Linked DNA regions of Astyanax mexicanus. The protein of the gene in region 1 purifies or fractionates together with the protein of each later gene. This does not show direct contact. Links are inferred from orthologs where the notes say so. Each region holds a gene or a part of one and is shown on either strand. Other genes may lie near its edges.

Region 1 (7,844 bases):
TTAAGGAAAACCTGGAATTAGCCTGGCCCAAGCTGATTTTATACTTTAAAATTAACTGGCAACATGGTATAACGAGCCATAATGCACAAAAAAATTGAATATAAAGCTGATGTTCTAGTGTGATTTTGAAGGACTTTTTAATCTTGGGCCAGAACAAATACACATGATCTGAAGAGTACTAGTCTTCTACTTTGAGGAAAACCTGGAATTAGCCTGGCCCGAGCTGATTTTATACTTTAAAATGAACTGGCAACATGGTATAACGAGCCATAATGCACAAAAAAATTGAATATAAAGCTGATGTTCTAGTGTGATTTTGAAGGACTTTTTAATCTTGGGCCAGAACAAATACACATGATCTGAAGAGAACTAGTCTGCTACTTTAAGGAAAACCTGGAATTAGCCTGGCCCGAGCTGATTTTATACTTTAAAATTAACTGGCAACATGGCCTACCGATCCATAATGCACAAAAAAATTGAATATAAAGCTGATGTTCTAGTGTGATTTTGAAGGACTTTTTAATCTTGGGCCAGAACAAATACACATGATCTGAAGAGTACTAGTCTTCTACTTTGAGGAAAACCTGGAATTGGCCTGGCCCAAGCTGATTTTATACTTTAAAATGAACTGGCAACATGGTATAACGAGCCATAATGCACAAAAAAATTGAATATAAAGCTGATGTTCTAGTGTGATTTTGAAGGACTTTTTAATCTTGGGCCAGAACAAATACACATGATCTGAAGAGAACTAGTCTTCTACCTTAAGGAAAACCTGGAATTAGCCTGGCCCGAGCTGATTTTATACTTTAAAATTAACTGGCAACATGGCCTACCGATCCATAATGCACAAAAAAATTGAATATAAAGCTGATGTTCTAGTGTGATTTTGAAGGACTTTTTAATCTTGGGCCAGACCAAATAAACATGATCTGAAGAGTACTAGTTTTCTACCTTAAGGAAAACCTGGAATTAGCCTGGCCCAAGCTGATTTTATACTTTAAAATGAACTGGCAACATGGAATACGGATCCATAATGCACAATTGTTTTTATGTAAAGCTGATGTTCTAGTGTGATTTTGAAGGACTTTTTCATCTTGGGCCAGAACAAATGCACATGATCTGAAGAGTACTAGTCTTCTACTTTAAGAAAAACCTGGAATTAGCCTGTCCCGAGCTGATTTTATACTTTAAAATGAACTGGCAACATGGTATAACGAGCCATTTTGCACAAAAAAGCCACTGTTCCAGTACAATTTTGAAGAATTTTTTAATCTTGAGCCAGAACAAATACACATGATCTGAAGAGAACTAGTCTTCTACTTTAAGGAAAACTTGGAATTAGCCTGGCCCGAGCTGATTTTATACTTTAAAATGAATTGGCAACATGACATGAAAGCCATTTTGCACAGAAATAATGAATATAAAGCATTGATTTTGAGAATACCAGAACACTTCATCTGATGTGTATTTGGTCTGAAAAAAAAGTCCAAAATCATACTGGAATATCAGCTTTAAATAATATTTTTTTTGTGCTGCCATGTTGCCAATTAATTGTGCAGTCTAAAATCAGCTCGGGCCAGGCTAATTCCAGGTTTTCCTTAAAGAAGAAGACTAGTACTCTTCAGATCATGTGTATTTGTTCTGGCCCAAGATTAAAAAGTCCTTCAAAATCACACTAGAACATCAGCTTTATATTCAATTTTTTTGTGCATTATGGATCGGTAGGCCACGTTGCCAGTTAATTTTAAAGTATAAAATCAGCTCGGGCCAGGCTAATTCCAGGTTTTCCTTAAAGAAGAAGACTAGTACTCTTCAGATCATGTGTATTTGTTCTGGCCCAACATGAAAAAGTTCTTCAAAATCACACTTGAACATCTGCCTCATATTTTTTGAGCGCAATGGCTTTTAAAATATAATTTTATTAAATATATATTTAATTATTTATTGTAATATATAATTATAAATTCAGTAATTAAAATAAATATTTTACAATATACAAAATTACATTTAATACGATATTGTATATTTACATTGTTAATAAACAGATGTACTGCTTTTCTTCATTCTATCTCCTTCAGTGTTGATCTGTGAGGTGTTTAATATAAACAGCGGGTGTTTGTGAACGCTCCCTTTAGTTCACGGTGGTTCAGTGAAGCGGCAGCTGCGAATATCAAACCAACTTCAGCCGGGGAATACGAGGCTGCGAATATCGAGCCAAACGAATCTGGAGCTGCGAATATCAAACCAACTTCAGCCTCGTTAGCTAGCGTTAGTAGTTACTACACGCATGTTGGCTTCGGATCTTTCCAGTCCACCTTAAATAGTGCACCACTTAACACTCTGTCGCCTCGGTCGCCCACAACATTAGTTAGTTAGCTAACTGACCGTAATTTAAGGTGGAACTGAAAATTAGTAAAAGGCTGTTCAATACGATACCAACTGCAACCTCGCAAATAAATAATAATACAGTGTGTGTGTGTGATGTGTATGTGTAACAGGTACATAGAGTGTGTGGGAGGGAGGGAAAGAGAGAGAGAGCTGCAGTCCCACAACGAGACACAAAAGCGCAGCGCCAGTTAGCATTAGCACTAGTGCTAATAGAACCCACATTCAGAATAGCTGAGGTTTAATCAGGATTTCTCACACCCGGTTATATTTACTGTCTCTGTTTATTCTTTCTGTCCCTGTACCCATTTAACGTTACTCCTTTCCCCCAGGCCCTCTATCCCTCTCTCTATCCCCCTCACTCTCTCTCTCGCTCGCTCTATCACTCTCTCTCTGGCGGGCAGGCCTGAGCAGCGCTCCGTTCCCTCTTACCGTCATAATAATAGCAGACTTTCTTCTTGGTGCCCTGCAGAGTGAACGCCATGCTCCACACACACGATCCCCGCGACCAGAGCGCGCTGATTAGATTAAATACAGATTAAAATGTAGCAGGAGCGGTGGAGAGAGACAGGTAACTACAGAGCTGATGAGGAGCACGGAGACGGAGGAGAAGGAGGAGGCGGGGCCTATTCTAATCGAGGGCGGGGCCTGCTTAGCACCAGCGCTCTCTGATAGGCTACAGGGTTACTCTGATAGGCTACAGTTAGCTGTTAGCTAGTTTGGCCTATATTTGAAGACACAGTGGTGCTTGAAAGTTACAATAGTGAACAATTTGAAATTGTCTATATTTCTGCATAAATGCGACCTGAAACATCGTCATAAAAGGTAGATAAGAGAACCCAGTTAAACAAATGACACAAAAAAAATTATACTTTGTCATTGAGGGCGTTTTCACTCCAGCACTATTTGGTTAGGTTAAAACAGACTCTGGTTCGTTTGTACTCTTAGTGCGGTTTGATTGAGCAGGTGTGAAAACAGCAGTCGCACCTGTACGGATCCAAATAAGCAGATAAAACCTACTATGAGGATCTGGTCTCAGTTCAGTCCCAAAAAAAGCTCTGGAGCGGTTTGCATCATGGTGAGAAAGTGATCTAGTCTTGATCCAACCCAGCCAAACTGCTGATAAGGCGCAGTTGAATCTGATATATTAGCCAGATAACACTAATTATTAGAGACACAATATTTATGCATAGATAGATAGATAGATAGATAGATAGATAGATAGATGTACATACAGTTAGATAGATAGATAGATATAGATAGATGTACATACAGTTATACACATAGTTGGATAGACAGATTATTACATTTATGTTATATTTATTATTTATATTTATTATTTATTTTTCATTATATACAATGTGCTGTCCACCTCGTCAAGCTATTAAAACAGAGACTGATTGAATTGTACTGTATTATGAGAGTGGTGCATTATAGTGATTAATTCAGTCAGAATTAATTATTAAGGAACACAAGAAGGGCATCATGTATAGTACACTTCATCATTAAACAATCACCAACATTAACTTTACATTTGATCAAATCCCCATTTTAGATCTCACAGCTCAGCTTATTAACAGTCAGGGGGGTTCAACATGTGTAGAATGCAGACTAACCTGTGTTACTTTTGTATATACTGTGTTTGTTTATATGCAAGACGAAAATCTTATTTACAGGCAAACATTAATGCATTTAGTAAAAAAATAGCTCTACATATTTCAAAGTTACAAAGTTATGTTTCATCTTAATTGCTTATAGTTGTAAGCAGGACAGCAGTTTAGCACCCCCTGGTTAAAAAGATCTGCCATTCGACCTCCTCACGGCCAGTCAAATTTCCTCCCAGTCATCTGGTAAAATTTCTGGTTGAATGGACGGTAGAAGCGCCTGAGCTTATCCAGCACAGCCAGGTCCACGTCCGGGTGTGGCCGGCCCTTGCTGCCCGCCAGGCACTTACTGAAGCGGCGGCTAAAGCGCAGGCAGTAGAAACCCCGTGTAGAGTTGAAATACAAGTTCTCTTGGCTGATACCAGGTGGAAGGTTCAGGAACTTCTCAACCAAACGGAGCTCAGGCAGCGGGTCTGAGATCAGCCTGTCTCCATCCACCACATGAAACTGCTGGACGGGGAAGAACTCCAGCCAGTGCTCCAGGTGTTTGGCGTAGATGCTGGTGCGGACAGCTTTGTACTTGGTGTTCACCTCCTGGGTGCTGGGGTTGATGGCCAGCACCTCAAACCTGGGGTACGTTTTATTCTTGCGCTCTTTTCCCTCCAGCACCTACAAGCAGTGACAAGAGAAACCAGGTTTTCTGAAACTGTACAAGTTCTGACTACTAACATGATCTTTTTACAGCGAGAGAGCTGACTGTCTGACTGCAGCTCAAACACACTGCATATAGCTAACCTGTTACTACTGCCACATTAAACCATTCTTTTTGGAATTCTGTATATTTTTGCTCATATTCACATTTGAATTTCACAAGAGAATGGCAGAATTTGCATTAAAAAAGTAAAAGAAACATCCCAGTTTCACCAGAGTTGCATAGTGCAGTTAGCAGAACCCAGAGTAGCCACCATAGGGATGCTTTTCTCCACATTACAGGTCACTGGAGCAACACTATGATTTTGATCTTGAGTTTTTGAACTGGACTTTCCATCTGGACCTTTTAGTAGGGCTGCAGTGATTTGTCAAAATTAACGATAATGTTGATTATTAAAATAACTGATACTGCAGTGAACATGACAAAATGCTAAGGAAAGAAACTGTGGTGGAGTCAAAGACTGCTCACTCACTTAGTCAGCTTGGTATTCAAAAGTGACAAACCCAACTGGGCATCTAAATCCCATGTTCAGCTGTTTCTTTCTTTTTGAAGCGAGAGAGAAAGCTAGGGTTGGTAAGCAGAGATGGAGGTGAGGCTGGGTGAAATTTTGAGATTTGAAGAACGAGACGAGACAATATAGTTTATATTGATATAGATTATTTTGCATTCCAATATGCTCTGTCATTTCTCCTCTCTTCTCTCTGCACATATATCAAGACATTTTTTTTACTTTACCTAGCACTGCGTGCTATATCTTTAACTAAGGCTGTATCTATGAAAATATTTTGTCCTTTGAGTTTTAGAGCTGTAAAATTGACTGTGGGGGGAAGGCAGGTAGGTGTTCTCTGCCGCAATGCTGTTAGCCAATCAGAGGTGATATTTTTGCATGTATGAGTATTCAAGAGCAAGAGTTGAAATCCTGTCTTTCTTCAGAGACCACTAATTCAGTGAACTAAAGTAGGGCTATACAGAAACACTGGAGCACTTTTTTTCACAAAAAAACATCTCACATGGCATTCATTCATACTAGAGACCACAACTAGACATTTTAAAATTAACAAAAAAACTATGGAATGAGACCTTTAAAGTCATGTACCATGGTAATTTTAATATGTGCCTCACCACTGTTTCGGTGTTTTGAATATAGTGCATCTTTACCTGTGTGTAATCAGAGATTGCACGAATCGTTGGCTCGCGGACGATCACCAGCAGCTTTGTGGAGGAATTCATCCTGAAAATCCGCTCCGGGACCTTCTCCGTCACAAAGTAGGCGGGGCTTTTCTCAATAGTGATTTGGCCAGTGAGGGAGAATGGCATCCTGCGGCGGTACCAGGCCACACCCCTGCCATAATTCTGATCACTGTCGAAGAAGTGGACCTCCTGTGAGGCCTTGACCATGGCGGGATGAAGGCTCAGCATCTCCAGCAGTGCACGAGTGCCACCCTTCCTGACTCCAATGATAATGGCATGGGGCAGCTCCTGGATCAGGTGCCCCTTAGTGGTGTTGCCCCTGCGAAGATCCTGCCGAAGACCCCGCTTATACTTTGGTGGTCGAAAGGGGAACTGCACTGGATCACGAGCAGGGTGTGGTCGGCTCTTGATGGGGCAGATTTGATGCAGCCTGAAGATAATTTTTTTTACATCAGTGGGTTGCAAGCTTGTGGGTGTTTTAATATTATGAATATATTTAAGTTGTGTGGGAGTGTAAAGTGGTGGGGTTTAATGGGTGGGTGGGTGTGAGGGGGTGAAGTGTAAGGAACTGACATGTAAGATGATTGGGTAGAGCGTGGGGAGGTATGAAGTGGTGAGGTATACAGTGGTAAAGTGCAGGATGAATGCTCACCTCTCCAGGTGAACTGTGTGAGTCAGCAGGTACAGCAGTGTCCCGAGCACCAGGCTGAGCAGCACAGCCAGCTGGGGGAACAACATCTCCCATCATCCCATCACACACACCAACTACACCTGCAAAAACACAAAAATATGATTTTGTATTAAGAATTCATCATTCAATATGCAGCACTCAGAAACTAGTATTCTATATTAAACGTTCAGAAGGTCTGTATTCATTCTGTATATAGCATTCTGTATGCAGTATTTAGCGTTCAGCATTGTTGAGCATTATTAGTCTTCAGTGTTCACTATTTAATGTTCTGTATTCACTAGAGTGTATTCAGTCTTAAGCATTCAGTATAGCATACAGAAAACAACATTCTGTATTCAGAGTTGAGTACTGAGTATTCTACTTTTAGTGTTTACTGCAGCTGTAATTGGCTGTTGTGAGCCTAATGTAAAAATTCTTTCAAGAACTTACAAGCAGAACACTGTAACCCCTGCTTCCACGCAGAGACCACACCAAGCACAACCAGGTCCTTCATCATAACTGTAGGACTGCAGCTCTTTACAGAGAGCTGTAGGAAGAACTACTAATAGCTCCATGCTAGCCTGGACATTTCAATATCTTTGGCTCAAACATGTAGAAACACTGTGGTTCTGGGAAAGCCAAAGGCATGCAGTTACCTCTATTAGCCTCATAACTGAAAAAATGTATGGGTATAAAGTGTGAGTTGCAAATCCAAAATGGCAATTAAGACTCCAAAAGGTTCAGCCACTATTATCTGAGGATCGCTAATTCCTTATCATGCTGCTTACCATCAGCAGTCAGAGCCTAAGAGAGCACTATTTTGCACTGTTTGCAGTCTCAGGGGTGGGTAGATGGTGCTCTCCAAATGTAATATTGGTCAGCACTGGCGTCTGTTATCTGATGTATAGAAGTCCAAGAGCTAACCAGTAATGCTGCATTAGAGGCGGATCAAAAAGAGACAGTGGTTGACTTCATGTTTCAGAGGAGGTATGCACCAGTCTTCCCCTTCCTAATATTGAATGCATTAATAGTGATAGAGGAAGTTCAGCTGATTAGGGATTGCCTTTCAAATCGGGGAGAAAAAAGACAACAAAAAGAAACACAGGACTAAATAAGACACACCTGTAATTAGTCAGTACTCATGTGAGCCAGATTGTGTGAACTGATTCTCAATAGATGAAAGGCAGTGACAGAAATTCTGGGTTCTCCTGGGAATTGGAATAATGTTTGTAAGAGAACTGTGACATATATAGATAGAGTGACCTATAGACCTTTCAAA
Region 2 (7,910 bases), on another chromosome or scaffold:
GTCACACAGGTGGTTTTACTGTCCGATAACCAGCGAGGAATATCGTGTTTATTCCCGTGAAGAACTGCTGGCCCTTCGACCCGCGGGACGTGGGGGCATTGTCCACTCAATACCGGGGGAACTAAGGAGGAATTACCGAGGCTGTAGGGCCGGAGCTAAGCTAAAGGCTAAGCTAAAGGCTAAGAGTACGGAGAAGCGCTGGAGGTACAAACCCTCAGTTCCGTCGGTGGTTATGGGGAATGTCAACTCACTGACCAACAAAACCGACGAGCTAGCGTGTCTGGTGAAGAATCAGAAGCTCTACAGGGAGTGTAGCGTGCTGTGTTTCACCGAGACCTGGCTCACCCCCAACACGCCGGATGCTAACGTGGAGCTACATGTAAACGTGAAGGAGGTGATCTGCTGTCGGGATATTGAACTGTTAGCGGTGAGTCTCCGACCTTATTACATGCCGCGGGAGCTCTCTCATGCGATCCTCGTCTGTGTTTACATTCAGCCGAGAGCGGACGTACAGGCGGCGTGTGACGTCATCCACTCCACCGTCGCAGCGCTGCAGACACAGCACCCTGACGCCTTCTATAAGGCGTATTTTGAACATGGTCTGACATTGCAAGCCTTGTGCAGTCAGCAAAAACTGTTCTACAATTCAACGGAAAATTTTGCAGAGCCATGATTGCACTGACCTAAAGGCAGGGTAAACACTATGGATATAAAATGGCGGGGGTTACATTATGTGAAATAGGGGGTACATCATAGACACATGATTACAACGTTTCAGTTATGTGGACCTTGCGTGCAGAGTGTGTATGAGTATGTATGGGGCTATGTCACGGTACGTAGACACTGCGTTGTAACCCACGTAAGCGTCTTATGAATATGGAATACAATACGTTGCATGACATCATGTGTTGTCAGGCTGCCTTATTACAATGCAAATGTATGCATAGGCGCGTTTACCGATTGGATGTTAGATGCCAAAACGTGTATACACGAACAGTTTTACCGCCTGTACACGTGATTTTTTTACGTGTGGACACGTCATATTTTTACGCGTGGAGGCGTTTCTTTCCCACACGTTTTGGCTTAGTTGGCTTGCCATATCTATGTGATTACTGGTGATTTTAATCACGTAACGCTGGACTCTACACTGCCTGCCTTTTTCCAGTTTGTGGACTGTCCCACCAGGAAGAACAGAACCATAGACTTGCTGTATGCTAATGTGAGGGATGCATACAGGGCTATTCCACTACCACCGCTGGGGAGATCAGATCACAACCTGGTCTTCCTACAGCCTCAGTACAAACCACTGGTACTGAGGCAGCCCACTACCACACGCTCATTCAGAGTCTGGTCTCCTGAAGCAGAGGAAGCCCTAAGGGACTGCTATGACACCACTGACTGGAGCGTGCTGCTGCACCCACATGGCGAGGACATTGAGGGGCTGACTCACTGTGTTACAGACTACTTGAATTACTGTATGGATGTTGCTGTTCCCACAAAGACTGTACGCTGCTTTCCAAACAACAAACCTTGGATTACCAGCACCGTCAAGGACCTCCTCAACCAAAAGAAGAGGGCGTTCAAAGATGGAAACCTGGTAGAGCTGAAGCGCGTACAGGGGGAACTCAAGGTACGTCTTAAAGAGGCCAAGGAGTCTTACAGGAAAAAGGTGGAAAGAAAGCTGCAAGATAACAACACAAAGGAAGTCTGGGGTGCGATGAAAACCATCACTGGGTGCAAGAACAACAGCGGCAACCCAGCAGATGGGGGTGTGGACAGAGCAAACCAGTTTAACAACTTTTACAACAGGTTTGACTGTCCTGCTCCTGCTGCCCCCTCCTTCTACCCCCCTGCATCTTTACCATCATCTCCATCTCCACCGCCACCACCATCATCATCTCCATCTCCACCATCTTCATCATCATCATCACCACCATTACCCTCTCCTCCATCTTCACCACCACCACCACCAACCTCATCACCTCCATCATCATCTTCATCACCCTCACCTCCACCATCTTCATCACCACCATCACCCTCACCCCAACCATCTTCTTCATCATCATCATCACCACCAGCACCCTCACCCCCACCATCTTCTTCATCATCATCGTCACCACCATCAACACTATCAGCTAGCAGACAAATCAGCTCCTCCAGTCCACCAACCTTTACTGCAGACCAAGTCAGGAGACAGCTGAGGAGACTTCACCCCAGGAAGGCAGCTGGCCCGGACAGAGTGTGCCCCAGAATGCTCAAGGCTTGTGCTGTTCAACTGGGTGAGCCCCTCCAACATGTGTTTAACCTGAGTCTGCGTCTAGGGAGAGTTCCTGCCACGTGGAAGACAACCTGCCTCGTTCCAGTTCCTAAGAAGGCACACCCGAAGGAGCTGAATGACTACAGGCCAGTTGCTTTGAACCATCTACAGCTGAACATCTCCAAAACCAAGGAGATGTGCATAGACTTCAGAAGGTCCAGGCCCTCTGCTCAGCAGCCAATCTCCATCGAGGGGGTCAATGTGGAAGTGGTCAAGTCCTACAGATACCTTGGTGTGCACCTGGACGATAGGCTGGACTGGTCAGTGAACACTGACTCCCTCTACAGGAAGGCCCAGAGCAGACTGTACTTCCTCAGAAGGCTTGGGTCCTTTAACATCTGCCAGAAACTCCTGCTGATGTTCTACCAGTCTGTGGTAGCCAGCGTCCTCTTTTACGCTGTAGTGTGCTGGGGAGGCAGCATCAGCAAGAGGGACGCTGGACGACTGAACAGGCTGGTGAGGAAAGCTGGTTCTGTGTTGGGACTAGAGCTGGAGTCCTTAACACCACTGGCAGAGAGGAGAGCCCTCAGCAAGCTGCTGAACATCATGGACAATGTTCACCACCCTCTGCACAGCACCATCACCAGGCAGAGGAGCTCATTCAGCGGCAGACTGCTGTCCCAGTCCTGCTCCACAGACAGACTTCGAAAGTCTTTTGTCCCTCAGGCCATAAGACTTTTCAACTCATCTCAGCACAGCAAACTGAAGACTCTGTGACACCTTTTCTTTCCAGCAATTCTGTCCACACCATGGACATACCCCCATCTATGGTCACACTATCTTGCTGATGCCCATAACACTATTTTTATAGTTCTACCCTATTTTGCACTAGTAGTTCATTCACTAGTTCATTCATCTACTGTTTACGTATCATTTGCACTGCTAAATTTAAATTATTATATAACTGTGTTTGCACTTTCTGTATGGCGGACATCAGTTATCCTTATCCTTACTTTATGCACATCAACTGGTGTTCGCTGTCTATTGTGTTCAACTGCACTACCTCCATTTTACATCACACACACACACTAAAGACTGTATTTTTTTTATCTTTTTGTAACTTTGTGTACTATACACACCTGCTGCTGGATGTCTATCTATCTATCTATCTATCTATCTATCTATCTATCTATCTATCTATCTATCTATCTATCTATCTTTCTTTCTTTCTTTCTTTCTTTCTTTCTTTCTTTCTTGCTTGGATATGTTTTTCCAGTCCAGCTGCTCTCTCTTCCTCTCCCGTTCTCTCACTCTTCTCCCAAAAAAGCTCCTAGCCCCGCCCACTACTTAGACTTTTGACTGACAAGCAGATAAACTAATCACCTTGCAGCAACTAAAAAGATATCTCAACAGAAATTACTGAATTAAAATGTGAGCACAAATAAACTATTGTAAAAATGAATGAACTTGATGATTTAAATGAAGTTTTAATATAATTTCCTTGAAATCTCTTTTTAAATAACTGAAAAATTAAACAAGGCTACATAATAGACCAGTGCAGCCATGTTGTCAGTTTGTAGTTAGGTCCCCTTTCTACACTGCTTTTTTCTTTGGGCAAAATAAATGTGGTTTTCAAAAGCTCGCCTCTATCACATTCTGTGGTAAATAAATATGTTCAGAACCCTGTACGTTTCATTCTGTGTACATCACTGGATCCTCTGAATTATGAAATCGATTAAGTAATAAGAAAAATGCTAACTTTAAGCTCATGCTACAGCGCACTGAATTGATGGCACAGGCAGAGATATGACACCAGCAAACTCCGGATAGGTCATGTTTTTTATTATTATCCTCACAGGGAATCATTGATTAGTTTGATTTGATTAGTGCTCATACCAATATGATAGCACATAGAACATTCATCTGTTTCTCTAATCAAGCATCCTAATACCACAGCAGCTACACTGGAAAAGCATGGCACAGTGTTTAAAGAATGTTTCTGGAGTAACACTGTGCTGCTTGTTTTAGTGATTTTCTGCTGTAATCCTACCAGCTCACCTCAGAGAGGGTAGTTAGTTCATTAATTGGATCAGCTGTAATATGCTGTAAAAATAGGACTGGAGTTTGCTGGCGTTGCACTAAACTGAGAAAGCACTCTGCTGCTGTGCTGTGACGTCGGTTCAGTGCGCTGTAGCATTAGCTTTAAGCTAGCATTTTTCTAATAATGACTTATAAACGATCTCGTAATTGAGAGGATCCAGTGTTTTTCTGGAGAATTATGTACTCAGAATAAAACATACAAGGTTCTAAACATATTTATTTACCAAGGAATGTGATAGAGGCAAGTTTTTGAAAACCGTACGAGGACTACAGAATGACACATAACTGCAGTGGCCTATATTTTATGTTAAATGCTGAAGGGGAAACGCCCCCTACAGATATAATGCCCATGGTGTAATTACACAGAGCATGTTTAAAGAAAAAATATTGTATTTTATTATGTAATGTAATATTATATTATGTCCAGGTCATTATTTCTTCGTGTGTTTGTTGGAGTCTAGAAAACACAAGCCTACAGAGCGGTATAGACAAAGATACATTATCGGTACTGTGCTGCCCCCTGCAGTTCAGTGTATGTGGGACACTGTGGGGGTACTGTGGCTGCGCTGCCGCAGTGTTTAGGCCGGCCTGCGGGGGCAACACTGAGACCGTGCAGAGTCAGGCGGAGGGAACAAAGGAGCGCGGGTGAGTGTTTAAAGCGCCCAATATTTCTAAAATTAATCTTTAAAACTGGCAATTAAAGTTCGGATCGCCCTTCATATTGTGTGTTATGAGCCTTAGATCACGAGCCCGGCTGTTCGGGTCGGTAATGTTGGGTTATCTGTCGCCGGTTTCTGACTGTTAGGGTTTGGCTGCGATAGCGGAGCTTCATCGCATTCAACCGATTATTAACCTCACCGCGCTGCTGTTTTACTCCAGCTTTTTAGCTTTTACCAGAATGTATCCAGACAGTTTACGCAGTTTAGGAAAATAAGTGTAGAGACCGCTTTGTAAGTGTGATTTATGATCATGAGGGGTAATGTAGGTTAACGAGTTATATTTGTTGTAATTCTGACTATGAAAGGGTTGCCGTAGCTGCTAAAGGCTGGGCTCACAGATGGATATCCTCAGTCCGGGCTAAAGATAAAATTAGTATTTTAATTTTAGAGATTAATTAACTCCAATCACCCGACGTGTTTTCTATTATATAGAGTTACTTTATTATTAGTGAAAATCAGCCCACATTAGCTCTCACTGCCGAAGCTAAATTTAGCTAGCCTAAGGTAGATTAGTTTATTTGAATTGTTCGTTCCACCTTAAATGGTTACAGCAGGTTAGGGCAGCTCTCAAGCCCCGCTGTAACTGCTGCACAATTTAAGGTGGCACAAACAATTCAGACAAGCCAACTTCAGCTGCAGGCTAACACGCGCTAACGTGGACTATAACATTTCTTTTAACACTTTAATGTTTACTCACGTAGCCTTAATTACTTATCTCCGGTTTTTAATCTAATTTTAGCTACTGTATTACAATCCTAAACATGCTTAACCTCGCTAGCTAGCTTGCGTGTTTTTTTAGCAACGTTTATTTCTTTTATTCCGGTTTAGCTTAGCACAGGGTGCTAATCTGCTAATGCTAGGTAACTTGCTAACTGGCCCGAATGCTCGCACTTCTAGCTACAGATCGCATCGAGTTATTGTTTTGGGAGAGTTATTATTGCATCTCTGTTGTTACAAAATACACTTTAAACGTTACAATAGTTAAATATAACGTTTATGCCATTAGATTCGTTTGGTCAGTTAAAATAGTATGGTAGCTATATTCTAATAATGTTTATGTTGTTTAGTAGTCCAGGAGCTTGTATTGTTATAGTAAATCGTATAATCTCTATTCACATGAAATTGTTCAGGCAGATATAGTCATTTAGGGATGTTTTAATGTGCCATATGGGACTGAAAGCGTGCCTCTATGTCTAATCCATCTTTACCCTATTGTAGAACCGTGATGGAGTTAGCCTGATATCCTCAATCCTGCAAACAAGATGTCAAGTAAGAGCTCTAATTTTATCTGAAGGTCATCTGTAACCCTTGTCTGAGACCACCTGTATAATGCTTTGCTGTTATGAATGTTGTCTTAAGGCCCTGTATGTGAACCTCTGAACCGTGCAGCCTTTCTATGCCATTTGCAGGAACGGCTTGTTTAAAGGGGAACTTAGCCAGCCATTTAGAATTGTGTAATTCATTGTGTTTGATGAATTCATTTGTAGTGGGGTCTTGGTGTAAAATTGTGGCTTATTCTAAGCAAATTTACTCACTGATTCACCATAACTACAATACAAATGTAGCCATTTTATTTTCTATCCAAGCCCACCAATGAATGTGTATGTTTTTCTCAGAACAGTGTTCCATGCAAGTTTCTTTAGATTGGAGCATTTTACACCAAGCCGACTCCGAACGTCTTTGTTCACGTCATACCTGTTTAACTACACAGATAATTTAGGAAATTGATGGGATAACCCTGTGAGTGATGTGTAGAAGTGATGTGAGTAAGATTCAACTGAAGCGGATGCGAGGTATAAGTAGGTTTTAGTACTGCTTCGATAAATGGCAAACGTCTCATTGTAATGGAATAATGTCTGCCCTCTGTGTGATTTTTCTCTTACAGAGCGGCCCTCGTACGCCCCTCCCCCCGCCCCGGCCCCCACCACAGTAAGTGTTCCACCACACCATCCATAAATGACCACATCACCCACACCAAACCTTAAGACCCCTGGAAGTGTGGAAAGGACTGCGGGATGATGATGATGATGATGATGATGATGATTCTTCCATGGGGTGGCTCAGTAGTACATGTTCCAGATGTTACAGAATATCCAGCTTATGCTGAGTTTTTTTATTTTTTATTTTTTATTTTAAAACCATCTCATTGAATTTAAAGCCCCCCCTTCCCCCATAGTGTGTGTGGCTTGGCTTTGAGTGGGTGTAAAACAATGCCAGGTTGTGCTGCTGTCAGATTGCTGCTTTTTGCATGTCTTATGCAAATCATGACCAAAAAAAGCAAAAACAAATCTTCCTTTTTTCTTTTTTTTGTCCCTTCCTCCCTTGTTTGTGTCATTTCTCATTCGTGTTTTGTCTCATTTGTCTCCATCAGCAAATGCCCACCACCCCTGGGTTTGTGGGGTACAACCCATACAGCCATCTGGCCTACAACAACTACAGGCTGGGAGGGAACCCCGGCGGGAACAACAGGGTAATGGTAGGACAAAAGGAAAAAGCAAAACTGCGTAGCTGCAGCAGAGGAGCTAGAACCCCAGAGCAGAACTGCCCGAGCTGACAACCTGGGCTGTAACCCAAAAGTCGTGCTATTTTACTCTAGTCTGTTTTACTACTTTTAGTTTGGAACATGGGCTTCTTATATTAGGGGGCGGAGCAAGGAGAGACTTGATATCATGGGTAGCTGATGTAGATCTTAGATGCTTCTGTACTGTCCTCTTCCTCACTCCTTTTGTAAACCACTTGGCCCACTCTGTCCACTCTGATTTTAAGTTACAGGTTTCCAGTGTTAGGACATCACCCTCCTCATTAGTTTGCATGAGTGCTATGCCCTTCAGCTT
Region 3 (6,873 bases), on another chromosome or scaffold:
TGTTTCAATTTACCTGTGTGTTAACTTGTCTGTGTGTTAATTAACCTGTGTTACCTGATTGTTAATTAACCTGTGTGTAAGTGTATGTGTGTGGTACATTTTTGGTAAATAACCAGTGTTACCTGTATGTTAATTAGACTGTGTGTTACCTGTATATTGATTAGACTGTGTGTTACCTGTGCAGAATTAACCGTACATAAATTAACCTGTATGTTAATTACTTTCTCTTACCTGTCTGTGCTCCAGGTGCCAGCAGCCAACGTGACGGTAACTGTCGCCACCCTGCGGGCTAATGTGACAGGTGTGGTTCAGGAGGCGGAGTCACGAGGGAGGAGCTCAACACCTGTACGGAAAAAACCTACAAACAAACAAACGAACAAGCAAACGAACAAACGTGAGAAACGTAAAAACTGCTTCGGGTTTAAGATGGACCGGATCAGCGACCTGAGCGGGATGGGCTGCAAAACGGCAGAAGTGGCGCCACCTGGGAATTAGAGTGGAATTACAGCCTGAGGGGGCGGAGTTTACAGTGCTGAACGGACTAAAGACTGGATACTGATATATTACCCAGCAGCCCTGTGGAGATCCTGAACACTGTATCACACTTCAGTGACGAAAAGCCCCGCCCACTTTGCATCTCATTTTTATTTACGTAGAGAAGAAGGAGGCGGGGCTACACTTAGGAATGAAGTGATTGACAGCCTCGTCGAGTTGTAGTCCAGCTTTCTGATAGCTAACTAGTTACAATACTAGAGATAATGTTCCAGGATGCTAATGCTAGTTAGCATCACAACATTATTATAAAGTTTCTCACATAACATTCTTTTAATAACATTTCTTTTATTTTATTTATTATTACTTTTATTTTTTATTCTAATGTTTTATATTTTCATTCTTGTTCTTAGTTCTATTATTCATTTTATCATTTCTTACCATTCTTAACATTTTACTTTACTTTTACTATTATCTTTTTACTTATTTTATATTTTACTTTTTATGTGTCAATTAGTTTTTTATGGTATTTTAGAATTTTCTGTTGTACATTTATATTTTATTTATACATGTTAAATGTTGATTTAATATGTAGTACTTTTTTATTATTATTATTTTTTTACTACTTGATTCCTTTTTATTTCGAGTTTATTATTAAAGGCTTTTAATCCCTTTGATGTTGTAAATTATCAGAAACATTCTCTTAATGTTTTTTCCCGAGTGAAAATAAAGCTTAATTGATTGATTCCCATCCTGACGAATATTAACATTATGGAAACGGTAAAAGTTAAAAACTAAACATTTGAAACACTGACACAAGTGATGTTGCAGCAATGTTACCACAGCGTTAAAAAAAAATAGTCAAATAAAAATGTTCTAAGAACATCCATAAAATCCATTTTTTGTTAACTGTAACGATTAAAAAACATAGTAAATAGTAAATAGTAAAATATTGATTTAAAATTAGTACTTTTTTTTTTTTACTATTTTATTCATTTTTATTTCGAGTTTATTATTAAATGCTTTCAATCCCTTTGATGTTGTAAATGTTTGGGAACATTGTAAAATGTTAAATATCATGTTAAATAAAAATGTTCTAAGAACATCCATAAAATCCGTTTTTTGTTAACTGTTCTACTAACTAAATATTGTTAGCTGGAAAACTAGCTAACACCCAATCGATACGGTAAAAATAATATTATTTCTATTTTTTTCCCATTTTCTCCCCAATTTACTCAATTACCCAACCCACTCATTAGGACTCCTCCTATCACTTGTGATGCTCAATAGTATTATTACTCTCCTCACATTTACAGTATGTTCTGGTCTGGATCGAGTCCTAACAGCATTTAAAACATTATTTTTTGCTCTCTATATAAAACGATATATAGAGTATATTAAGTTCAGTAATGTTACAGGCCTCAGGCCCATGCGTCGCTGCTGCAGCTGCATCACTGAAAGTTTATTTTATATCAGTAACACTGATGCTATTATCTGATTATTGTTATTATTTTTATTACTATTTGTAAATACTTTCCTGCACATTTGTTCCTGCTTATACTGTACGTGTATAGTGTGTGTTAATATGTATGATTTGTTTTTTTGTTTTAAATAAAAAACAAATAGTCATGTTGGGTCAGTTTCCAGGTCATGAAATTAATGATGGGATTAAACCTAATCTGGGTCTGGGAAGATGATCCCGATGAAACTGTCACATAATAACACTGTTATCTAAATAATAAATACTGTTCTTTTATACCTTTTGACTTATTTATTTTTTATTATTTATTTGCTGCACTACACCCTGCATACCATATTCCCAGTTTACAAAAGATATTGATTCATAATTTATTTATCATGAAAATTATAGTGACATTTAATAAGATTTTTTCATCAACTAATAAAAGCTAAATGAAAAGGTGAAAGACTGACAAATTGGATACTTATCTATAATAAACAGTATTATTGATCAGTGATCGGAGTGCCCCACATATTGTGTAAATATAGTGGTTAATTAATAAAAGTCCAGATACAGAACGTCAGTAATGTTAGTAGAAACCTGTACTGCAGTAGAAGTGTTTAATTTTTAGTTACTTGACTTTATTTTTCTCATCTTTATAGCGTAGTTGCTTTAAAACCTTTTAATATTAGCATAATTTTAATGTACCGAAACCTAAAAGCTATTTGTTTTAATAAACATTAATAATAAATAAATAATCTCAAAATAATAGTACAAATCTAAAACAGTACAACAATAAATCTGTACATAAAAATCTGTTTTATTAGATTCTAAAACTAATGATGACTAAACAAGTAATATGTGACTAAAACTAGTATACATTTCAATTAAAAAACTGAAACTAAATCAAAACATCTGTCAATATTCACACCGTAACAGAGAACGCTATGAGAACGTTTATCAACGTTTTGAAACGTTTCATGAATGTTTCTCTGCTAGACCAATACTAACATTACGGAAACATTTTCAGTACCATCAACTAACATCAACTAAAAATTAAAACATTGACACAAGTGATGTTACCAGAACGTTTAAAAGTGTTCAATAAAAGATTTTAAGAACATCCAGAAAACTTGACAGATTTGAACGTTTTAAGAACGTTATCTGTAACTTTCAGAAAATGTTCTACTAACCAAACCAAGCTCTGCTCTTTCACTACTAAGTATAAATATTTGTATTTTATTAAAGATATATCACTTTTATAAGTTACAGAGGAATTACACCCCCCTCTGTTTACCTTATAAACATTAGTTGACAAACTATATATTATAAGATTTCTCCTGATAAATTATTTTTCAGATTCATTTATTTATCTAACTGCTTCTTACCTCTGTATTAAATTAACAGCTTAAATAAAACAATGAATCTACTGAAACTAATAAAAATAAATAAATAAAAATTAGCTTAAATCAATGGATAGCTAGCTAACTTTCCCATTCCACCTTAAATGGTGCAAAAGAAGGTAGAGGCTGCAGTATTTAAGGTGGAACTGAAAAATAAAATAAAATAAAAGCTAATTTTAGCTCCTTAACACCCGGTCTGAGACCTGTTCTAGTCCATATTATGGCAAAAACTACTCAACTAAGTAACGACAAAAATGAGTTTAGGAAAAAAATTAAGTAATGAAACAAAATCCCCTATGAAAAAACGTTATGATGGAACTGGCCCTCATAAGTTTGACCACTTCATTATTAATTTACAGTGTAGGAAAAATAATAAAATTAAAATAATAATAAAACAACCAAGGAGAATGTTTCTCCATACATATATATGGTGCTGTATATTAATTTATATTAATTCTAATTTATTAATAATTAAAGCAGTTTAATCACTCTGATCAGCTCTGCTTCATCCGGGTCTTCCCGCGGCCCCGCCCCCTGAGTGACCCGTATGCAGCGGCGGAATATGGCGGAGGTAGGACGGAAACTCTCCTGATTTCTCCTAAAAACAGGGAATAAAGTGCGGGATTTCTGCGGTCTCGCGCTCTCCCCGCGCCCCGCGCGCTCACCACGGCCCCGCACTCAGCCCCGCAGCGGCGCGCGGGCAGTACCGGGCTTTTCCCGCCTTTAAACTTGTTGATTTTAACACAAATACCCGCCACTGTAAACTTATTAGCACTGTTAGCCTGTTAGCGGATTTCAATCCGGATTAAAGCGGGTTAAAATAAAGCGCATTCCGCGGCGGCGCGCGGGTAGTGATGTAATAATACGGTTTTATTATTCCGGTGTTTTTTATTCAGTAATATCAGTTCTGTGAGCGGGTTACGGGCTGCAGTGTGTTAAATCTGAATCTGAGATAATGAAGCTAAAGCTCAAACTTCCACACTGTTCCACATCTCAATTCGGATCTAAATCCGCATTTAAATACACTTATAGGGCTGATCATTCACATTATACTGCATTTTAAATCATATAAATATAAAAATCAGTTTTACACTGCGAGTCTGCTTCACCAAAATCATCAGTTTATCTGTAATTTGGTTTAAAATTAAGTTTATTTCAGTGTAATTCAGTATACTTTGCCCGTCACTCCAGATTATCAATTTATATGACGGACAAACTTAATTATTTTTCCACTAAATTCAGTTTTACAGACTATGACCAGGTTGTTACATTAATACGTATTCAGTTTCATTTTATGTTGCCAGTTTATCACTAATTCAGGTTTAAATTCAGTTTAATTCAGTGTAATTCACTATATGCTGCCTATCAATCCAGATTATTATTATATACTGAAAGTCAAATCTTCATTTATTCAGCAAATGAAATAAAACTCCCTAAAACTAAAGCTGTTTTAAATATATTAATACTGTAGCTTGAATGATATTATATTTTAATGCAAACTAAACTGTACGTATTTATTAACTGGAGAGAGAAGGCAACTGTGGCTGATTTTAATACAGTAATGCCTCTAATGTCTTCAGAAAAACAATATAAATTGATATATATATTTTAAATACTTAAATGCTGAGTATATTGGGTCCATTTGTAGTGTTTATGGAACTATTTAAAAAAATAAGCCATGTTGAAGTTGTTGCATATCTTTTTCTAAAGTCTATTGTTCACATTCTTCAGCTGTTTTTCTGATAATAAAGTCTGAATAAGATAAATAAGATAAAATAAAAATACTGTGATATACATTTTTGGTCATACCGCCCAGCACTACTGTGTGTGTGATGTACAGCACGACGGTGGATTTATACTGTTCGTATCTCTGTTGGAATTATCAATTATACTGTAGTGACCTAAGTTCTCCAGCTCTCGAGAAAATTAAAGATATCACTTCAGTTTCTGAATCAGTTTCTCTGATTTTGCTATTTATAGGTTTATGTTTGAGTAAAATGAACATTGTTGTTTTATTCTATAAACTACAGACAACATTTCTCCCAAATTACAAATAAAAATATTCTCATTTAGAGCATTTATTTACAGAAAATGAGAAATGACTGAAATAACAAAAAAGATGCAGAGCTTTCAGACCTCAAATAATGCAAAGAAAACAAGTTCATATTCATAAAGTTTTAAGAGTTCAGAAATAATCAATATTTGGTGGAATAACCCTGGTTGGTTTTTAATCACAGTTTTTAATCATGCATCTTGGCGTCATGTTCTCCTCCACCAGTCTTACACACTGCTTTTGGATAACTTTATGCTGCTTTACTCCTGGTGTAAAAATTCAAGCAGTTCAGTTTGGTGGTTTGATGGTTTGTGATCATCCATCTTCCTCTTGATTATATTCCAGAGGTTTTAATTTGGTAAAATCAAAGAAACTCATCATTTTTAAGTGCTCTCTTATTTTTTCCTAGGTCTATATATATATATATTGTGATTTACGTTTTGGACGTATCATCCAGCTCTGAGCGTTAGTAATCCTTCAGGAACTGTGAAGCATCTAAATTATTGTTGAAGATGAGCTGATCATTCTCTGACCCTGTCTCTCTCTCTCTGTCTGTCTCTCTCTCTGTCTGTCTGTCTCTCTGTCTGTCTCCTGCAGTCCTCCTTGGGGAATTCAAGCCCAGGTAAGCCTCAGTCTGAAGTTGTGGGAGTTTCTCTGAGCAGATCTGTATCAGTGTAGATTGTGTTTTTGATTTCTGGTGGTTGTGAGGTGTTGTGGTGGATCAGGGCTGATGGGGGCGTGGTTCTGCTGCAGGGGTTTCGGTGGACTTCGACCCTTCGGCTGAAATGCTGGTGCAGGAATTTGACGATGAGCGCACCATGGAGGAGGAGGAGCTTATGGAGGGAGAGACCAACTTCCGCAACGAGATCGACGACCTGAACAGAGTGAGTAACAGAGTGAGTGCATCATTCCGTCATTTCATCATTATATCACTCCATCATATCCAGCCGGGTGCTTATTTCCAGCCTTCCATCTGTTTCAATGTGGAGAGGCCAAAATACTGGAAACCAAACGTCAGATTATCATTTCAGAAACATATTTTAGAACATTTTCACACCTGAAAATTCAGACCAGCTTCTGCACAAAAGGTTTATATGTTTATTATCAATCAATCAATTGACCTTTATTTCCACTCGGTAATACCAGGGTTCCCACGGGTCCTTAAAAAGTCTTAAAATACCTTAAATTAAAATCTTTATCATTAAAATCTTAAATTAGTGTAGTTAGTGCAGAGCTAGCTAACATTAACGGGAGAAAACTAAGGTTAGCTGTGTTAACTTTAGCAACGAGCTAGCTAAGATACTAACGTTAGCGGCGAGTTAGCTACGTCACTGTGGAGAAAACCAGGGTTAGCAGAGACCTAGTTAACATTAGCGGAAAGCTAGCTAACATGCTATATTCTGCATCACAATGGAACAAAATTGATAAATGCAAAACGTTGAGTTTTAATTTTCAATACACTAAAT
Region 4 (6,994 bases), on another chromosome or scaffold:
GAAAACACTCTGAGGATGTTCTCAGAGACAGGAAATAACTTTCCCCCCTCCCTCTTTCTCTCTCTCTCACACACACTCTCTCTCTCTCTCTAACTCTCTCTCTCTCTCTCACACACACACACACACACACTCTCTCTCTCTCTCTCTCTCTCTCTCTCTCTCGCGCTTGCTCTTTTCCTACCACCTGTGTGTACTCTGCTCCATCCCTGCTGCAGATGTGAGATTTTCTGGGACTTTCTCATGGACTTCCTTTTCTCTACTGGTTGGGAGAAGCCAAAGGGAGCAGGCACTGTGAGAGAGCACACACACACAGAGACATATATATATATATATATATATATATATATATATATATATATATATATTATATGTCTTATAAAACACACTTCCGGATGAACGCATACATCCACTTACTGTCCTTACTGCTGTTTTCAGTCTCTTTTCTCTTTAATAAATGAATAAATAAATTAATGAATGAATGTGAAACTATGTTGGAGCGACGTGAACAAATTTAGATTTACGAATAAAGATTTATCTCCAATGCCTGATCTGATAACATCAGATATTTATCTCCTGTGCCTTTTTTTAAAGAGATTATTCATTGGACGTGCTGCCTTAGGCACGGCACATTTACAAATACTAACTAGCAAAATAATGTAATAACAGTGCTATATTTAGGGCTACATGATATTGATAATGAAAAAAAATAATAATTATCTGTTGTTTTTAATTATGTATTGTGATATATTTCATATCTAAATAAATACAGGAGTTTGCACCAAATACACCAATGATTCAGCAGGTTGTGATATTAATAATTCCTTATACGTACTGAAGACTGAAAAAATGTACTGAAAAAAAAAATGAGCCAATATATTCAGCTCCAGGTAAACAGGTCAATATAAATTTTTGTGTTTTGGGATTGATTAAATTTGCGTTACATTCGCACATATGCAAGTCCTGCAATGTGAATACTGCACATGCAAACATTGTTATAATAATGATGATGATGATAATGATAATAACATTAAAATGATATACTATGCAACCCTAGCTGGAATAAGCTGTATATGTCTGTATGCCTTTATTGTGCTTCATTTCAGTCAGTTCAAAGACTATATTAAGAACAGAACAGAAGGGCGAGAAGACCGAGAAGACGACGACAGTCTACAAACGGGAATGTGAGGCGTTTACATTTGACAGACGAGACGTTTTTCCTCCGCTTGCTCTCAACCCTGCGTTTACAGTAGTTAAGCATGTTTAAGCATTCCTGAATACTTGATATTAAAGCTATTTTTAATATATTTTAGCTGTAAAAGTCTGTTTGATTAATGTCTGTCTATTGAGAATGCTGACTAGAGAACGTATTCTCGTTAAGGTGCCAAAAAAAAAAAAAACAACCATATTATGTAATTAACAAAGCTTTGTGTCTTAAAAATGGCAGTATTACAAAAAATACTTTTAATAAAAGTCATTTTGCTAGTCATTTTGCAGCATTTGTATTGGTTCACTCATCATGAAATATTGACACAATTTAATTTTGTGTTAAAAAAGGGGAGAAACTGTAAAAATGAGTATACAACCATAAATATGATTACATATATGTTTGCAGGCATTCTATAAATGTATACATAAAGCATGCTATTTCTGATCATAATGTGTATATAATGTGTCATATATAAATGTCAGCCAAATTAAGTCTGTATTATGCGACTCATCATACAAATAATAAAATAATATTACAGATGTGATTGCAAAATAATTATGATTTATTTATTTATTTAAACCTGATTAATCTGTTATCTGCTATTACTCGTTCGCCTGAATGGCAGCACTGTGCCAGACATTCGTAAAGGTGTCATGAAGAGATCAGGTCAAGCCGCAAAAAAAACCAATGAAAGTACACACATATATATATATACTCACAGGCACACACACACACACACACACAGCTTTCAGAGGGAGGGTGCTAAGGGGTGTCCTGTTTCCTCTCTTAAACCAGGAGGAGCTGCTGAGGTTGGGAGGTTGGAGGCTGTGTGCAGTGAGATCGGGGCAGCGATCAGCCTGACAGCGAGAAAACAGAGCAAAAAAGAGAGAAAAAGCAAAAAAAGAAAAGAAAAAGAAGAAAAATGTTTAAAACTCATATAAGCCTGAGATTTCTCATTTCACATTATATATTGTTATATAATGCAGCACCTCTCTATATGTGGTTAGTCAGTGTGATATGCATGTAATCCAGTACTTACAGTAAGTGTAGCTGCTTTCTGGGGATCCTCCAGAGCGGAGGTCTCTGCTGCTCTACCGGGACTGTGAAGCCTGAGGGGTAAAATAGTCAAACCCATCAGACTTATTTGATAGAAAAGACAGAAAACACAATAAAACTTGTCTACAAATTTGTTGAAAGTAGTAGAGCAGATTACACAGTGCCAGTAGGCTATATTTAATTAACATAATTAACAAGTATAATTTTTGTGTGCATACAACAGCAAAGAGCATATATAACAAATGTACTTAAAACAACATCAAAATGACTATGAATAATAAACAAAACAAAACAAACAGAAAAATATATATATATATATAATTATAATTATAAATTGTGAAGATTAAGTAAAAATATTTTTAAGCAAAATTAGGATAAATATTTTAGTGATAATAATAATAATAATAATAATAATAATAATAATAATAATAATAATAATAATAATAATAATACCTGTGAATTTCCTGCCTCAGTCCCGTTGACTGGAGCTCCCCCTCCCGCATCTGCCGCCTCCTCAGCTCCAGATGTTGAGGATGTTAAGGCACCTTTCCCGCCTGCGCCCCGGTCTGATTGGCTTTGAACAAAAGCATCAACTGATCCTGCAGCCCCGAAACCCCCCACCCCCAAAATAACCCCACCAAAACAAGCCCCCCACCCCCGCATCAGCCCCTAAATCTCCCCCTCACCCCCCGGATTGATGATTTAATTATCCCTCCGGTAGATGAGGACGGAGGGAGCGCTGCTTTATTTACCCCACCAATCCCATCCCCTCAGAAAAGGTGGGGCTTCCCAGTCTTCCGTCGGATTCTAGCGGACTACGAAATAAATAAATAAACAAATAAACAAAAAAAATAAACACATTTTAGAAACAGTCATAACCGGTTCATAACCACGCCCAGCACGGGCGCGTGCCCATTTTTTTCTTTTTTCACATTAGCTTAAAAATTCCCGTGTACATGTTCCTTTATGTGCTAAAACGGTTTAAAATAGATTAAAAATATTCTATCACCCCAAACAGAACAGTATTACTTTACTTCCAGCTTAAAAATAACCGGGTTTTTTTTGTTAAATCCATGTCGGATTTTGTTTTACCTGTTTCTTCTTACCTGTCACCTGGCCACCTTCCCTTTAAGAGCGGCGCGCGTGGCGCGAGCCCGAGTTGTGGCGGGAAATCCGCGCCGCTTCTGAGGCGACGACGGGTGAGGAAAGTCTGTGAGGGAGAACTCGGCAGCACAACGAGGCTTAAAACCGAATTAAAACACAAACCCCACCGAAAAAGACGACTTCTTTCCCTCTTTTTCTCGTGCCGGGGAAAACTCTGACTCGTCTCAGTCTAAAACCTCGTCCTTTCTGGTGTTTAAATCTTTTGTTATTAAAATATAGCTACATTTGTTTTGTGAAGATGTTCCTCTCCGTCTTCACGTTAGCTTAGCTTTACTTAGCGTATTTATTTGGAAAGGTAAAGCGAACAGGTCGGGGTTTGGTTTCTTTTGCCTGCCGCGCTGTAAAAAAACCGAACGGGGAAACGGGAAGGGGGAAAAGGAGGAAAAAAGAAAGCGAAGGAAAAGTTCTCACGGTTCCCAGAAGATGCTCACGTTTGGTCCTCCTCAATTATCCCTCCCCGTGAAGATAGGTGGCGCGTGTTTCAGCCTCTTCTCGCTCTCCCCCATTCTCTCTCTCTCACTCTCTCTATCTCTCTGTGTTACAGCAAAGAAAAGGAGAGAGAGAGAGAGCGAGAGAGAGAGAGAAGAAAAAAATGTCATTAGAGGAGGCGTAACACGTCAGTCCGTCCGCAGGTTGGTTTCCTGGAGTGGCTGAAAGGGATCAGTCCCAACCTGCGCGCCAGGAATAACGCTGCTCCAGCTACAGCCCGGGCTTTTTACCCTTTTTGCCACATTTTACCCCACGGATCCGCTTTCTTCCCCCTCTTCCAAAAAAAGCCCCGCCACGGCTGCTCTACAAACCCCCCTTTTTTCTTTCCTTTTTTTATATTCCTTGCAACCAGCTCGACTAAGACAAACGTAAACAACAAGGTAAGACTTGTTTCCTTCTCTCTTTAAAGATGTGCAATTTATAGGCTTCAAGACTTGGAATATGTATTTAGAAATAAAGTGAATATTTATATTTATAGATGTAGTTCAAAGTGGAAGATGAGAGTGGGAGTGCGCTGGAGAGATGCGCTCACCTTTAAGTTCACCTGTACAGGTGAACTTGAAAAAAAAGTGTGCTTGTCGTTTTTGTAATTATTCAATGGACGATTTATTAAGATCAGGATTTATTTATATGAACAACATCTGAATTCTTAAAAAATCAATTTTGTACATTTTTCCCATTATTGTGACTTTAACAAATTCAGTGCTGTATATGGATATTAATATTTTTTAAAGTTACTTCTCCCTTTGTTGTATGTCAAGCTATGAGGATGACAGATAAAACAAAAATAGATATTAATTGGTATATTTTCACAAATATGATGGGACAGTGAGTGGTGAAATCTAACGGTGCCTCGCGCCGTATGTTATCTTTGTACACTTAGTCTAAATCGCTTTTCCCTGCTCTGCCGTCCTATTACAAGACAAACTCCTGCAGCAGCACAATGTTTTAATGATTTTACTAAAATAGGACATTAGAATGAGGATGATGAAAAAAGTTTTAATTGTTTAAAATTAAAGTAGTCAGCAACTATTTATTTTGCTTTTAAGTGTTTGTACTTTTCAAAAAAACAAACACACAAAACAAACATTATAACACCCAAGCAAACAAATGGTTTATATTTTAGTGAACTAAAAAATAATAAAACATTATTAACAATAATGATTATAAGGTATAGCAAAATACGTGAAAATTGTACTAGCAATACTATCACTACTACTACCACTAGTACCACTAATACAGTTTTGTAGTAGTAATAATTGTAATAGACAACAACAAATTTAATTCATTAAAGTTTTTAATCGTTTTTTTTTTCTTAGCCAATTTTTTCCTTTACATTACAAAATACTTAATACTTTCCCAATGGTGTCTACATTACAGTTCACAGTTAACAGTAAACTGGTAACACCACAATTTCAGCACCAAATGTTATGTATATTTAAAGTCCATTTTCCACAAACAAGTCTAAGCGTGTAAATAATATCCCACACAAATTTTCAGCGTTAAGATCTCTCCTGTTTACCGGTCCTATGTGTGAATACACTTGTTTACTTGTTTTATCTCCTTTTATTTTGTGTGCAACAGTTTGATATATGTATAAATAAGCTCATCACCAGTCCCGGCTCTGAAAGCAAACTGAGACAGCAGTCTCCCTATAGTATTTAATACTATTTAATTCATGCCTACATTTAATTTAATACAGTTATTCCTACAGCCGTGCATGTCCCATTGAAGCAGTGGACCCCGCCACCACCCACCACCGGCGGTGTGTAGCTCCTAGCCCCCCGCAGCCCCTCACTCACTCACCCGCCCACGGTTTGGGGCACTTTCGTCTCCAACGTTCCGTTTTATTTTCTACGTTATTTCCAAGCGCTGATGCGGATGGTCCAAAATTTGCGCCTGTACGTACCTGCGCGTGTGTGCGCGCGCTTTTGCGCTAAAGAGAGCAGCGCCTGCATTGTTGTTCTGTGTGTGTTTGGTTTTGCCAGAGACTGAGGCTGCGCGCTGCTGACTGACTGACTGAAGGAGTCGCGTCCATGCGAGCTGCTGCCATCTGATCCAGACACACACATCCACACACACACACATCCACACACTCACACACACACTCCCCATCAATGAGGCAGCATATCATGGCGGATGGGCCCCGGTGTAAGCGGCGAAAACAAGCCAACCCGAGGAGGAAAAACGGTAAGCTGAATTTATTAAATAGTAGCTTAATAACACTGATAGTGGGCTGAAGAGCGGTGGTCGTGGTGGGACTGTGAGTGTCTCTGTGAGAGAAACAAGGAGTGAGAGAGTGAGAGCGAGAAAAGGAGAGAGAAGAGAGAGAGAGTGTGTGTTGATGGTCGGAGGGTGGGGGGTAAAGCTCCGGCTGACGGGACGCGCATGGACGCGCATCGCGTGATACCGTTATTTTGTTATTACCGCTGTGCATCTCCTCATTGTGGGGTTAAACGAATCGGTTTCAAAGGGAAAGCGAAGCAAAACCAGTGTTGTCCACCACTGGCAGAGCTTCTTTTGTGTAGATCTGATTTATTTTGAGGCGTGCTTTCAGCTCGCGCTGTTGGAAGTTGGAGCGAGTGGAGTGGAGGAAAAGTTTTGCAGCACGCGGCTCGTTTGCTTCACGCTACAGAATAAAAAAGCGCTTTTAAAGTTGCGTGTCAGTTTACGCTGTTGTAAGGCGCTCTAACGATGGCACTGGCGTCAATAGCGATTTGTATGATAATACGGCTGGCAGCACGCTCTCTTGTTTGTGGGAGGAATTATTTTAATAATAATAATAATTATTATTATTATTATCATCTGATACATCTAATAGCATCAGCGGTCGTTTTCGTTCATTTCATTTCGTTTCTGGCAATTATAAATTAAATTGGATATAGCTAGATAAAGCTCATGGAGTTGATAGTTATAGGAAAACACTTTTCTTTATAAATTGTACTTTTGTGTATAATGCTTTTTATGTTGCACACTTTTATTCCGTCGCTTTTCTCTTGTTATTATTCTAAGTGACATTTGAGCTATGGTGTGTTTTATCGTTTTTAAAAGAGTGTGTGCCTTCAGTATTGTGGTAGT

The links.
Region 2: the proteins of histone deacetylase 2 (region 1) and smarce1 purify together in Homo sapiens (co-immunoprecipitation; 3 studies listed by BioGRID and IntAct, with this or other methods). This does not show direct contact. The link is inferred for Astyanax mexicanus from reciprocal best matches to the Homo sapiens genes HDAC2 and SMARCE1.
Region 3: the proteins of histone deacetylase 2 (region 1) and mier1b purify together in Homo sapiens (co-immunoprecipitation; 6 studies listed by BioGRID and IntAct, with this or other methods). This does not show direct contact. The link is inferred for Astyanax mexicanus from reciprocal best matches to the Homo sapiens genes HDAC2 and MIER1.
Region 4: the proteins of histone deacetylase 2 (region 1) and zeb2b purify together in Homo sapiens (affinity purification with western blotting; 4 studies listed by BioGRID and IntAct, with this or other methods). This does not show direct contact. The link is inferred for Astyanax mexicanus from reciprocal best matches to the Homo sapiens genes HDAC2 and ZEB2.

What each region holds. Positions count from the first base shown.
Region 1 is NC_064408.1:38,903,604-38,911,447, reverse strand, and holds the start of histone deacetylase 2, read right to left. Parts: upstream 3,016-7,844; 5' UTR 2,873-3,015; coding exon 2,821-2,872; intron 1-2,820. Other genes in the region: heparan sulfate glucosamine 3-O-sulfotransferase 5, read right to left, coding at 4,206-4,661, 5,863-6,325, 6,548-6,633. UniProt on the Homo sapiens protein: Histone deacetylase that catalyzes the deacetylation of lysine residues on the N-terminal part of the core histones (H2A, H2B, H3 and H4).
Region 2 is NC_064426.1:13,043,693-13,051,602, forward strand, and holds the start of smarce1 (SWI/SNF-related matrix-associated actin-dependent regulator of chromatin subfamily E member 1), read left to right. Parts: upstream 1-4,890; 5' UTR 4,891-5,002; intron 5,003-6,294; 5' UTR 6,295-6,338; coding exon 6,339-6,345; intron 6,346-6,961; coding exon 6,962-7,005; intron 7,006-7,447; coding exon 7,448-7,552; intron 7,553-7,910. UniProt on the Homo sapiens protein: Involved in transcriptional activation and repression of select genes by chromatin remodeling (alteration of DNA-nucleosome topology).
Region 3 is NC_064415.1:898,380-905,252, forward strand, and holds the start of mier1b (mesoderm induction early response protein 1b), read left to right. Parts: upstream 1-3,866; 5' UTR 3,867-3,901; coding exon 3,902-3,925; intron 3,926-6,004; coding exon 6,005-6,029; intron 6,030-6,160; coding exon 6,161-6,303; intron 6,304-6,873. Other genes in the region: natriuretic peptide Na-NP-like, read left to right, coding at 247-495. UniProt on the Homo sapiens protein: Transcriptional repressor regulating the expression of a number of genes including SP1 target genes. Probably functions through recruitment of HDAC1 a histone deacetylase involved in chromatin silencing.
Region 4 is NC_064412.1:34,805,458-34,812,451, forward strand, and holds the start of zeb2b (zinc finger E-box-binding homeobox 2b), read left to right. Parts: upstream 1-3,975; 5' UTR 3,976-4,296; intron 4,297-5,904; 5' UTR 5,905-6,033; coding exon 6,034-6,106; intron 6,107-6,994. UniProt on the Homo sapiens protein: Transcriptional inhibitor that binds to DNA sequence 5'-CACCT-3' in different promoters. Represses transcription of E-cadherin. Represses expression of MEOX2.